Lepisosteus oculatus: one gene and its partner. The protein of the gene in region 1 binds, or shares a complex with, the protein of each later gene. Links are inferred from orthologs where the notes say so. Each region holds a gene or a part of one and is shown on either strand. Other genes may lie near its edges.

Region 1 (7,019 bases):
AGGCTGGGGGATTTTTTTTTAATATGCAAAATGTGTTGCAGTCTTGCGAGAAGGACATAAAGAGACCCTTTTTGCTAAAATGTTGAAACTGTGGTCTACCCGGCTATTTTCGTTAAATCGTGCGCCATCGAGTGACAAATTAAATGATGGCTTTGCGGATTTTCACTCTGTCAGATATGAGGTGGATACAGAGACGGACTTGTCAAACAGACTCGATCAGATATACCTTCACGTGCACTTCTGTTTTAACCGCAAGTTTTATATGGGTAAAGGAGAAACCAACATTCAAAACGATGGTCCAACGGTATTAATAATAATTAATAATTGCTTACACTTGTATAGCGCTTTTCTGGACACTCCACTCAAATATTAAAAGTATACTTATACTCAAGTATTAAAAAGCATGCCTAATTTCACAGATCCTAACTATCCCTAGTGCAATTAGTTCATCTAAATCAGTCTTAAGAGGTCAATTACAACGAACCTTCGGATTTAGCACTCGGCGGACTAGTTAATGCGGTGCTATCTGGAGATCATCTCCAGCTCTGAGCCCAGCGGGAGAGCAGCTGAACTTCTGCTCAGCGTTGGTGTTGTTCTAATTAGCACGACTGCAGGGGACTCCGAATCAGAACATTTATACTAATCTGATCAGCAAGTTAATATGTAGGCCACGATTATTACTTTTTTTTTCTCGTGTTAGTAAATATAACTGAATGTCCCTGGAAATTAAATGTTATTAAAATTTAAGAACGGCTTTTATACCAGATAAGGGTACGTAATTACTGACGCGGTACTCAATTGTAATTCATCACAAAATGAGAACAGCAGCAGCGGGCTGGAGTTTGAGCCCGTACTGTACTATAACCGCTTTTATTTTCATTGATAAATGATTCATACGGAAGTCAACACGTCGCTGTTTTGGTTTCGTGTGTAAGTTATATTTATACTATTGCGGACACGAATGTAAGTGTGGTGTCACTCAGGGGCTAAGTTTGTTGCACTTCATCTAAGAGTTTTTTTTAATGTATGTTTAACGGTCTTCACCGTTTGAGATGGTGAATTAGAATTTTAAGTTGTTTAAGTTGAGCGCTGACTGACAAAAGCAGGTAGTGCGTATTCCTTACAGCCGAGTTAGCACATCGTTACAACAAGCAACAGCTAATGTCCAATAGCTTTAGCAATTTTATTTCTGAAATATAATCACGGTTAATATACAGCAAGGTGCTGGTACACTGGAGTGAACTTCACCTGTAAGTAAAAAGTAAATTTACATTCGCAGCTCTAACAGGTGAACTTGGGAGACTTCGGGAACAGATCTTTTCAGGCACTTTCCTGCCGTTCCTCTGACCTTGTGAACCTTTGTAATTTTAAACACAGCGTCTTGCTGGCCTCTCCTGTGACCAGTGTGCCAGTCCACTGAAAGCCAGCACTGTCGCTGGGGCGTGTGCGGTCCTACACAATCTTGGTCTCGACTGGACGAGCCCCCTGCTCCGTCTCCAAGACTTTCCGCACATTCCGGCGGTTTCACCACCGTTTCTACTGGACCACAACCACAGATAAGAGAAGGGACGCTGTTCCGAATAAGTGTCTTAAATAATCACCTTTAAAAGATGACGGACGATGAGAGTTTTATTTTCTTTAATGCACCCTTACATTTGCCTAAACAAGTTATTCTCTGTACCCCAACACCTCCCCCCCCCCCCCCCCAAAGCCCTGCTTTCCCTGGGAAACACATAAAATACAACAGATCTACTAAATAACACCCAGATAATGACAGAACACGTTAAGCGTTACACTCCATTTAAATATGTTTTCTTAATTTAGACTCGCTGCACTCCCCAGGATATGTAAAAATTCACTATCGCATACTAAAGACCCTCCTGGCATTAGTTGTAGTACATCTGCTAATAAAAATAGATATTAAACTTCACTATTGATACATTTCACTTTTATTAACAAACGCATGTATTAGTCTAGCCTGCATTGCCTACACATCGTAACGAATTGCAACACACTGATAATAACTGCGCCTAAAAAAAACAATAACAGGCATTAAAAACTGAATTATTAATCTGGTTGTTGTAAATGAGATAACCTGTTTTTACATGTCACGGTTGTAAACACGGAAATGTCGCCGTTTTTCCTTCTTTAAGTGGGTTTGTTTTCTTTGTTTTGAAAAAGACGCGCTGTGAATGAATAATCACTGATTGGCGTTATTGATGGAGAGTGTGTTTCAATACGTTTGAATATCCGCAAATGCTACAGCTGCCTGTTGGAAGAATCGTTTGAACCAAGAAAGAAAGAACAACGTGGAAACATACTCAACTAGAAGGATTCTAGGAGCAGGGGAATCCTGCAGGGCCACAGGGTTCTGGGGGGTACATAATGGATCTAATTATATACTTTACTGGGGAACTCTAGTCCGTATCTGGGCCTGAGGTCTTACTAGGTATATAGATAACTGTACCGCCAATGAGATAAATGTTTCTAACAAAAAAAAACTTTCAAAGTCCTTAAGAGAGCTAAGAAAACAAAGAGGTTAATTGGCTTTTCGGACTGGAAGAAAAGACGCTGGATTGTCCCAGAACCGTGTCTGACACCCCTGACACAGATTTTAACCACCCGAATTAGTGAAGGCGAAGTGGGGTGTCCTTGAGTGAAGCTCAGGGGCCTCGATGGGTTTTTGGGGAGTTCCCAGGGACTGCGAGCCGGTTGCAGCGCGGTGATGGTACCGCCCTCTGCTCTCCTTGCCGCTCCTGCCCCGGTTCGTCCCCCGCCTCAGGGGCTCCTGTGCCGCCCAACAGGGATATTGCCGGCTGAGCTAAAAAAGGCCTCCGTCACTCCGGGCGGCCAACATTCTCGTTATACGCAGGGGAGCAGAGGGCGGTGTCATAACTGCGCTGCAACCGGCTCTATAACCCGTATGTCGGCCGTTAGTTATAGTTGTAAAAGGCCCGGCGTGAAATAACCTCATCACCTGTCGCTTTTTAACAATCTGATAACGTTATGTTGTCCGTTACTCATTATTTAACGTAGCAATTGGGCCCAACAGTAAAACACTCATAAAAACTGTTAATAAGACACAGGATGCAAATATTTACCAGCATGTCCACAGATGTACTTCGCAACAACACTCTCCGATTTGCATCGTATTTTTTTTGGTAATATATATATATACACATGGGAGTCGGAGGCTAATTTATAGCGAAACTAGAACATAAGCAGGGTGTACAGTTTGTCTAGCTACCGTCTACCTGCCTGCGTTATGAGCTCTTTCCCTCTTCATAAGACATCATGGGGCATCGGTTATGGATTAATAGGTTGTTGTTGTTTAAAGGAGACCACAAAAAAAGACAGCACAAATTTATTTAGCATGGGGAAGCGAGACACGACGCCTGTTGCGAGAAATGTGTCATGCCAGTGTGTCATGCCTCTTTACAAATAAACCCCCTATGTCCTTTAGGCTTCATTTCTTCCATCTTTCGTGGTAGTGGTCAGGCTCACAAAGTGTCCGGTCGCGGCCTCCTTCACGGAGCAGAACAGAGAGGCGGAGCGACGACCCGGAACGCGTGAACGGGACAATTAAACTGGACCCCAGTTTTTGAAAAGGGGCTGCTGCCCGCAGTTATTTTGTTACTTTGCAAAACAGCCACCTTAAAAGAAAAAGTTTTTTCCATGCTATACAATTTATCATATTATCTAACACTTATTACACGCCTTAGAATAGCAGGAGGCACAGTTACAGCAAAGGTAGTGAATGGTCCTTCTTCTTCACTCACACCTAAACACCTCGGAGGACCTAGTATTTGACATCAAAGCATAGGAGACACTAGGTATTAATTCATTATTATAAACATCGACGTAAAGTACAGTACCACAGTACACAACATGCAATCGGGATTTCTTCAGTGTTGTACCGGCTGCGGTTGGGAAGGGTTTATAACTCCTCCCAGGCAGTAGGCGTCGCTGTTACAGGAATAGCGAGGCCTCGAAAATAAATCAACCGATCTTGCCTGTTTTCTGCCATTGTCGGTCTTTCTACGCGCTGAGACAGAGCGAAGGGATGCCGTCTGGAGAATACGAGTAAGTCTGTGTGAATAAAATCACCTTTTACTGGCATTTAACTTAAAGTATTAAGTACGTTTCTGATCAGCGTTCTCTCTTTTCCCAGTTCTAAGCCCAGTTGGGCTGATCAAGTTGAAGAAGAGGGCGACGAAGGTGAGGAGGACCTAGTCGGAAAAGGTCTGAGCACAGGCCGAGAAGCACCCGTTTCACACGTGTGATGATTCAGTGTATTATGTAAAATACTAGAAATGCCATAAAATAGGCTCGCCAGCAGAGTGCTTACCTCACCGTAATGACAATACGTGTTTATTTTCGTTTTCACGAACAGCAGTTAAAGGATATTTGCAGCTGGTTACAGGACGATGGCTTAGTTTTACGTTGTACATTATTAAGGACCGTCGTAGGTGATATAATACACGCACTTCGAAATACTGGCAGCACCTTTGTAACCGTTAGAACTCTAAGACTATAAACAAGAGAGCTTTTTAGAAGAAGTGTTAATATAACGCTGCTATCGATCTCATCAGGACTGACTGAATACGGGTCTTCAAATATTACAATGTTTTTGAGATACAACTCTCTGTAGAAACTATTTCAAATACAAATGTCAATGCTCTGTAGCTGTCAATGATGACATGTCATAATTAACTAAGCCAATCAGTTTCCTAAGTTAATTAGCTTGACCTGTAACAATGTATATGTGTCCTGATCTATAGTCCTATAGTATCCCGAAGGAATACTGTATGTTTTAATTGAAGTGCTGCTGTTGTTTTTTTTTTTCAGGAACACTTCCATCGCCCAAAGAGACAATAAAAGGGAATATAAAAACTCTTACGGAGTATAAGATAGATGAGGATGGAAAGAAGGTTAAGGTGAGTTTTTGAAGAGTTGAACACTCTGCTCAGTTGTATGCAATTACCAGATAGGCTGTGCTCTGTGGTGTCTGGAAGAGATTAACAATCTTCAGAAAGTTCTCAGAGCTGACGTTCAGGGGTTTCAAATGGGTTTATCACGGAAGAGTAGCTATTTTTGGTCAGATTGCATTTGGGTATTAATTTTCAGATTTTGCGGTCAGGTTTTCAGTCCTACTGCTTAGGGAAGCAAAAGAGAGGTGAGAACACAGTGTGATTCCATCCTGACCTTTGGCTGCTGCTATTGGAGCATATTAAATACCCCCACCCCTGTGCTTCTGGGTTGATCCTGAAATGTTTCACAAGATGGGCACAGAACCATGTAATAGGCTTATTCCATGCTTAAAAAAAGAAGAAAGAGAACACAATGTTTCGGCCATGGAGCCTTCTTCAGGTGTCAAGGCTCCATGGCTGAAACGTTGTGTTCTCTTTCTTCTTTTTTTCAGCATGGAATAATCTATTACTTGTTCCTTTGCAGCCTACGCATGCTGACGCAGCTACCCACCTGAACTACTAATAGAACCAAGTGTTGTTTGTCCTTCCAGATTGTTCGCACCTTCAAAATCGAGACCAGAAAAGCATCAAAGGCTGTCGCCAGGAGAAAGGTACTGAGCTGTCTGACTGATGTGTGGGTGTGTTTAGTGTGTTTGCGTTCTGTCAGGCACGGCTGGGCTGTCCTCCCTTTGGTCTGTGAATGTGCACTTTAGTAATGTTTATTTTTGTGTCATTTGGCCCCGTTTCTCAAGTGAGCATTCTTCTGGGAAGGGGAGACCTCTTTTATTTAATGCTAGTGCAGGGAGTTCCCATCCCTAATCCTGTAGGACCTGACACTGGCCGGCCCATTCCAGCTGGGCCTGATTACATAATTGAAGCCTTATTTGGACTAACAAGCTGCTTGAGATGGAATATTGGCATTTTGTTTTTCTGCTCAGAAGTTTAGTTTAATTTATAAAGCGCAGCAGTCAAAAAGCGACATGTTTAAGATCTGAAAAGAGTCAAACAGTTCAAATCAGTTCTCTTATTAAGCAGTGAAGGGGTTGATTGTGCGAAGGGAATATTCAGCAGCAGTGGATACCTCTTTGTTTGGGTATTTTGATCTGTCTCTTGATGTCTGGTTGGTGTCTTGATGTCTCGATGAAGCGAGATTCGACTCCAAGGGCTTCCAAGGGAGATCTGATCCCTGGGTGGATCCTGACTCCAGGGTGATGTGGGGGTCTTGGGGTCGAGAATGGAAATAGATCAACTTGGGTGTTTCTTGTTTCATCTATTCACGAGTACCGAAGAGGGGATGGAGATCTTGCTGGTAAGATCTCCACGAGGTTTGCTTTATAACTTTTTTTTTGTTCCGGTTGATTACCAGAACTGGAAGAAGTTTGGAAATTCTGAGTACGACGCGCCAGGACCGAATGTGGCCACTACCACGGTCAGCGACGACGTCTTCATGACCTTCATTTCCAGCAAGGAGGTGAGCCGGTGGCGCGGTCGAGCAGCGGGCAGCCTGTGGCAGAAGCCGAAAAACCACGAAGCAAAAACCGAGCGGTGTGGTTCAGGCTTGCCTCAGGACAGCGATGCACGGTGGATGGCTAATAACGATCATTGATCAATTTGCTTTGATTATCACTGTTATCAAATTCCCATGTTACTTTGGCTGCATGTATTAGCGACTTTGGGTGTGGAATATCTCTGGCTTATTCATGTTTTCCAAAGCAGTTTAGGTTTTTAGCGGCACTCTAGACCCTCTGTTAAGCACTGCTTCAGAGTTGCAGTGGGGATTATCTTCTTAAAGTGTATCAATGGCATTGTAATAATCAGTTTAAAATCAAGGAGGCGTGGCCTGCTAGTGTGTTTCCAATAGCTGGTCTTTGAGTTAAGAAAGCAGAGACGTGAGAGACAGGGTATCTGATAGTTTTCTCTTTTTTTTCCCCCATTAGGATCTGAATAGCCAGGATGACCAGGATGATGCATTAAACAGGATAAGGTGCCAGAAAATCGTCTCCTGCCGGATCTGCAAAGGCGATCACTGGACCACCCGCTGTCCGTACA
Region 2 (6,831 bases), on another chromosome or scaffold:
CAGCCTGCAGCACTCTGCCCTATGTTGCCGCCAACGTCTCCCCATGCAGATGAAAGCCACTTGATGCTGACTGATTTTGACGGATTTTTTTTGCTCTTCTTTTCTGTCATCAGACAAAAGGCAGCTCTTTTCCCAGAGCTGAGCCTGCCTTGAGCCCTGGGAGGAGGAGAGGGCGAATTGTGCTCTGTTGAGTCGCCTGCACTTGTTTGCTGTATGTGCAGTTGTGCAGAACACACACAGTGCAGCCGGGGAGGGGGGGTGGGAAGATTCGCAGCAGTGGGGGCATGTCAAAGAAAACCAGTTATATTTAGAAACGGGTGAAGAAGAGGCAGGGACGTTTGGTGCGATGTGCAGCTGTTAACGACTAATAACCTTTTTTTTTTTGCTTTTGTTGGTTATAAAACCTGTCTTATGAGGGAGGGTCTGTTGTTTTTTTTTGTGTCTGTTTAGTCAATCAGAGACAAGCCCACAGTCTCTGTAAAATAACGGCTAACCTAGACTCTGATGCCCTCCCACACAGACCATCCACAGTTTTCAGTGCTGTACGATAGAACATAATAGATTACTCCAATAGCCCCTTACACACTGAAGACATTGCCCTTACTTTACAGCGTTTACTGTGTCCGCTGCTCTTTGTCATCGGAGTTGTGCTCTAAAAATTGGGTTGAGCTCCAAAAATTGAGAACATTAAAAGTTAATTAAATACAGTTATTGAGAATAAGAGATATTTCCTGCTGTAAACCAAAAAGAATATAACAGAATAAAACTAGAACTAACTAGCACATAATCTCTGAACTCATTTTAATATATTTGGGGGGACTCCAGTTTTATTTGATAATATTTGCATGTGGTTATTTTATTGAGGAAAACAGGAGAACGGTTTTGCAATACAGTCGACAGCTCTAAAGGTCATCCTGTTTTTCTGGTAGGAAGTCTTCTTCAACCAGACAACTGCCAAAACAGCGTTGCCATGCTAAATTCAGTCAATGCTAGTGTACGCTGTACAGGAAGTATGTGCAACATGCAATAGATGCATTTTGAATTTCTCGCCTATTTAAAGCAGTTCTAAAATTGCTGCCATGTCTTACATTAATAATACAAGGCTTTACTTTTTCAGAGAACAGTTGCCAGATTACTGATTAATGTAAGCTTCTCTTTCCTTATCACTCCTGTGCTAATGCCACTACACTGGTTACCAATGAGCTTCTGAACATGTGATCATTGTTCTATAATAGTCTATGCTATGCTGCATCAAGTAGGATCTGCTTAACCTGAAAGGCAACTGTGCTTGTTTCCAATCCAATTTTCTTTCCAGGTGGGGACAGACTCTTCGCTTACTGTTCTCTGCCTGCCTGGAATTCTTCTTTTCCCAGGTTGGCGTGGGAAATCTGAAACTTCACATTAATAGCAAAACTAGAAAGTGCAGCATATATTGAGTTGGTCACAAGAATGTGCCACACCCACAAGCATAATGTTTTGTCTTAGTGGACATTTCTGACCTATGGAACAAGTGAATCTCTTTGGCTTACAATAGAGGTTGTTTGTCACAGTGAGCACCCCTTTTCAAAGCTCTTTACACAGTCCTGACACAAGAGGACAATAGTGTACAGTGAACGGATTAGCCCCCGTGGCTTCTCACAGTTGGCTGGGAACTGGCTGGGTCACATGGGCTCAAGTGAGGACCAGGCTGTCCTCACTTTGGTTTGCAACATGGTGACTCCTGTAGACTTCATTCATTGGAATATCTGTTCCTCATGGGGTATGTTTCTAATTCATTACTGTTAGGTGACACAAGAATTCTGTTATGGCAGTCTTGCATATCCTAAAGAAAGTATTTTTCTACCTCAAAGTTTGGCAAAGCTTAATAGTTAATAATAATTTGGGATGGAGTGTGTCCTGCTTTTTTAATAGTCAGCTTCTGTGGGCAGACACCTCATTCACCCTTTATTTTTTAATTCTGGATGCCTGTAACTGACCAAGGCACCTGCAAACCTGCAAACTTGTGGTAATCTGCACAGATGCACAGAAAGGACTACACGGCAAGTTCAGCAGGACTACAATATCTCCAGGAGCAAACCTTTTCAACTAAACCACCACTGCATATTAGTAAAGACCCGCAAATGGAACCCTCTCAGAATCTAACACGGGTGCATATCCTGTGCATACTGCAATCAGTCGCGCTTCTGAGTACTCACATCAAAATAGCTCATTAAGAAATGCAATTGCTGCAGTAACAAATGCAGATGAGGCACAGTGTTAAGCAGCATGAGAATCACAGTATTTGTGTATCTAGTTGTATAATTGGTAAAAATATACTAGCTTAATGATTACTATCTGCAACGTGCTTGTAAATGTTACGACGAAACAGAACGGCACAGAATTCTGATATCACTCATGTTACTCCCAGGCCTTTTCTGCCTCATTCCCAAAAGATAATTAAAAAATATTTCAGTATGAAACACTAGCTTAAGAAGGAACGGAGATATGGGTATTCCATTTCCTCTTTATGACAGTTATGGAAACCAAGGAGTTTGGTTTAAGTAAAAAAAAAACTGCATTAGATGTTACACTGCAGTGGAAAATGTTTGAAACTATACAAATGTGTATAGTTGTACAGTAATTCCTTGCATTTGTATAGTATGTTTTCATCTCTTACAGGCAAGAAGAGAGTCACTCGCCTCCCTAATACAGGGCATCAATTCTGCTCCTGTGAGTCCTCACAGCACATCAGATGGAGACGGACCAAGTGAGAAGCCGGTTCAAACGATGAAATAAGGGAGGCCAGATTGTTGAGGCTCAGAGGGGTAAATTTCAGGACACCAGGTTTTAGAACCCTCCCCTTATAGTGTTAGGGGATCTTCAACAACCAAATAGTCTTAAGGTCTCAGAAAAAAAAAAACCATCTCACTAGATAATGCGTTAGATAATCTGAGGAGTGTTTAAATTAAATTGGTTTATCTTCACAGACATGGTTTTATGACACATCACACAGTAAACAACGATGCCTCTAATAAATATGAAATGCGGCTAACAACAGGTAGCGCGTTTATTTTGAAAGCACCTTCTGACCAATGTGATATGTTATCCTATCGTGAACATAATGCAGAACTGGACGCGATTGAAATTAAAGTGCACGTATCTCTGCTGAAGTCGTGTTCAGTCAGCTCCCCGCCTGCACCCCCGTGTTTTTCGCAAACCCACGGGTTCCGGTTTACTCTCGAATAGCTAGGGCTCGCAGCCGAAACTCCCCGGGACGATGCGGCCAGTATCGTTCATCCTCCTATAGATCTGCTCAATAAAACGCAGTACAGTTATTTGTATTATGAGCTCGCCTACAAGCCAATTAATTGTTTTAATACAAAACCATGTCAGAAAAAAACCGTATTGTTTTCATAGAGTGGGAACTAAATAGATTTGGCCTTTGGAAGTGAGCAGGAACTATTTACCGTTGCACCAGCTCGTACCACGTGGTAGGGGCGACGAGCTCACTGGAAGCCGACGAGCAGACCTGGCGGTCGTTAGTCCATACTGTCACCCAGGAGATGATTGGCTAATTCTAACACATCCCAAACCGCGAAGTATCAAGCCAGTGGAACCTAAGTTTTGATAGCTTACACGATCAGCGAACGTGAGCAAGCTTCCACTTCTCACTGGGTATATGACGTGTTAATGCCACGCAATAAATGTTCAGTGTTTATTCGCTTTTGCTGGGTTGTAAACTCGGATCAGAATATTTTTGACGGGGGGGTCGGAGACCAACTTCTGTCTCGCAGAACACATTGAATAAGAGAACAGACTCGCTTGGCTGACGGTCTGTGATCAATCAAGATCGCGAGCCCTCGTAGGCGCGAGGGGAGAGGTCGCCCTTCTCACGTGACCAGGGACAGTTCCGGTGTCACGGGTTTCTCGGTCCGATCTCTTCCTTTTTTCTGCTCGGCGGTCCCACGTGTGGTGTGTATCTAGGTTCGGACCGAACCTATCTGGGAGCTTTGGTACCAGCACAGCCCATCACCAGGAAGCGAGATATGGCCTCGACGTTCGAACAAATGCGAGCCAACGTAGGAAAACTCCTACGCGGCATCGACAGGTTGGTGTAGCAGAGTCTTCCATTATTCTGTATTAGATGTGTTGGTAAATTGGGTTTCTTTCAAACTGACTGGTCTCATCACTTCCTAACACACTGTTGGATTACACCGTGCTTTGTTATTTAATGGGTCGATGAGGAAAACTGCCAACATTTAATAAACTAGTAACCTATGATTATCTTTTAAACTCTTTTAAATTATCTTTTAAACTCGGGGCTTGTTTTGCGCCAAACAGAACTCTGGTTTTTATTTTAACGAAAGGCGAGAGACGTACTTTTTCACAGGTCGGCTTCTCTTATTCCTTAGTCACGGGAAGAACTTATTCTGTTAGCGAAATCATTTAGATCAGTGGCCTGTGTGCTCAGCGACTTGTATCGTCGCCGGGGTGATGGGTGGAGCGGCAGGAGGGGGGAGAGACGCTGTGCTGGGTCAGTACGTCCGGCTGTGGTCGTTGGAGCTGCATTTTCGCAAACTCAGCTGATTGCAGGGGGTGAAAGGGCCACAGACAAGCACCCCCTTTATAGCAGTTTGTAACGATATATCAGAAGGGGCAGCAGCCGTCTTTTGCAGCACAAAATAAACACCAACAGACACGGGAGCTCTTTTATTCCTGCAGCCATAACATTGTACAATGAAACTTAAGTTGCATCTGCAATTTCATTACATCTTGGGGGACAAAAAACAAAAGCTGGCCAGTTCTTCCTGGGCACAGTGCTGGTGACGGCCAGCTAGTGCTTCCTCTAACTGAGTCTGTTCTGCACAGGTATAACCCAGAGAATCTGTCCACACTGGAGCGCTATGTGGAGACACAGGCCCGGGAGAATGCCTACGACCTGGAAGCCAACCTGGCTGTACTAAAATTGTGAGTTGTGCTGCTACTCTATAACAATTAAACTGCACTTTCTTGTTGTTTGACACTCACACACTGCATTACCTCATTGTTTGCGTTCACCCCCTGACACGCTGCAGTGTCTCAGAGTGAGCCCGTTCACCCCCGACACGCTGCAGTGTCTCAGAGTGACCCCGTTCACCCCCGACACGCTGCCGTGTCTCAGAGTGACCCCGTTCACCCCCGACACGCTGCCGTGTCTCAGAGTGACCCCGTTCACCTCCGACACGCTGCAGTGTCTCAGAGTGACCCCGTTCACCTCCGACACGCTGCAGTGTCTCAGAGTGACCCCGTTCACCCCCGACACGCTGCAGTGTCTCAGAGTGACCCCGTTCACCCCCGACACGCTGCAGTGTCTCAGAGTGACCCCGTTCACCCCCGACACGCTGCAGTGTCTCAGAGTGACCCCGTTCACCCCCGACACGCTGCAGTGTCTCAGAGTGACCCCGTTCACCCCCGACACGCTGCAGTGTCTCAGAGTGACCCCGTTCACCCCCGACACGCTGCAGTGTCTCAGAGTGACCCCGTTCACCCCCGACGCGCTGCCGTGTCTCGGAGTGACCCCGTTCACCTCCGACGCGCTGCAGTGTCTCGGAGTGACCCCGTTCACCTCCGACGCGCTGCAGTGTCTCGGAGTGACCCCGTTCACCCCCGACGCGCTGCAGTGTCTCGGAGTGACCCCGTTCACCTCCGACGCGCTGCAGTGTCTCGGAGTGACCCCGCTCACCCCCTGACGCGCTGCAGTGTCTCGGAGTGACCCCGTTCACCTCCGACACGCTGCAGTGTCTCGGAGTGACCCCGTTCACCTCCGACACGCTGCAGTGTCTCGGAGTGACCCCGTTCACCCCCGACACGCTGCAGTGTCTCGGAGTGACCCCGTTCACCCCCGACACGCTGCAGTGTCTCAGAGTGACCCCGTTCACCTCCGACACGCTGCAGTGTCTCAGAGTGACCCCGTTCACCTCCGACACGCTGCAGTGTCTCAGAGTGACCCCGTTCACCTCCGACACGCTGCAGTGTCTCAGAGTGACCCCGTTCACCCCCGACACGCTGCCGTGTCTCGGAGTGACCCCGTTCACCTCCGACGCGCTGCAGTGTCTCGGAGTGACCCCGTTCACCCCCGACACGCTGCAGTGTCTCGGAGTGACCCCGTTCACCCCCGACGCGCTGCAGTGTCTCGGAGTGACCCCGCTCACCTCCGACGCGCTGCAGTGTCTCGGAGTGACCCCGCTCACCCCCTGACGCGCTGCAGTGTCTCAGAGTGACCCCGTTCACCTCCGACGCGCTGCAGTGTCTCAGAGTGACCCCGCTCACCCCCTGACGCGCTGCAGTGTCTCAGAGTGACCCCGTTCACCCCCGACACGCTGCAGTGTCTCGGAGTGACCCCGTTCACCCCCGACACGCTGCAGTGTCTCGGAGTGACCCCGTTCACCTCCGACACGCTGCAGTGTCTCGGAGTGACCCCGTTCACCCCCGACACGCTGCAGTGTCTCGGAGTGAGCCCGTTCACCTCCGACGCGCTGCAGTGCCTCAGAGTGACTCCGTTCACCTCCGACGCGCTGCAGTGTCTCAGAGTGACCCCGTTCACCTCCGACACGCTGCAGTGCCTCAGAGTGACTCCGTTCACCTCCGACGCGCTGCAGTGTCTCAGAGTGACCATTGTGGCTCTGCGCTGTCTCTCTGAGTCATGGTTCACTCTTGTCTGTACCACTTCTCATCAACTGAAGCTCTGTCTTTCCTGTAATGTTTCTGCAGGTACCAGTTTAACCCAGCCTACTTCCAGACCACAGTGACGGCTCAGATTCTGCTTAAAGCCCTGACAAACCTGCCCCACACTGATTTCACGCTGTGTAAATG

The links. The genes of interacting proteins can lie anywhere in the genome.
Region 2: eif3g (region 1) and eif3k share a complex: the UniProt entries of both Homo sapiens proteins name them as parts of the eukaryotic translation initiation factor 3 (eIF-3) complex. The link is inferred for Lepisosteus oculatus from reciprocal best matches to the Homo sapiens genes EIF3G and EIF3K.

The regions. Positions count from the first base shown.
Region 1 is NC_090706.1:15,345,209-15,352,227, forward strand, and holds the start of eif3g (eukaryotic translation initiation factor 3 subunit G), read left to right. Parts: upstream 1-4,013; 5' UTR 4,014-4,063; coding exon 4,064-4,083; intron 4,084-4,171; coding exon 4,172-4,242; intron 4,243-4,848; coding exon 4,849-4,937; intron 4,938-5,521; coding exon 5,522-5,581; intron 5,582-6,336; coding exon 6,337-6,441; intron 6,442-6,907; coding exon 6,908-7,019. UniProt on the Homo sapiens protein: RNA-binding component of the eukaryotic translation initiation factor 3 (eIF-3) complex, which is required for several steps in the initiation of protein synthesis.
Region 2 is NC_090698.1:5,595,392-5,602,222, forward strand, and holds the start of eif3k (eukaryotic translation initiation factor 3 subunit K), read left to right. Parts: upstream 1-3,812; 5' UTR 3,813-4,025; coding exon 4,026-4,087; intron 4,088-4,848; coding exon 4,849-4,947; intron 4,948-6,729; coding exon 6,730-6,831. UniProt on the Homo sapiens protein: Component of the eukaryotic translation initiation factor 3 (eIF-3) complex, which is required for several steps in the initiation of protein synthesis.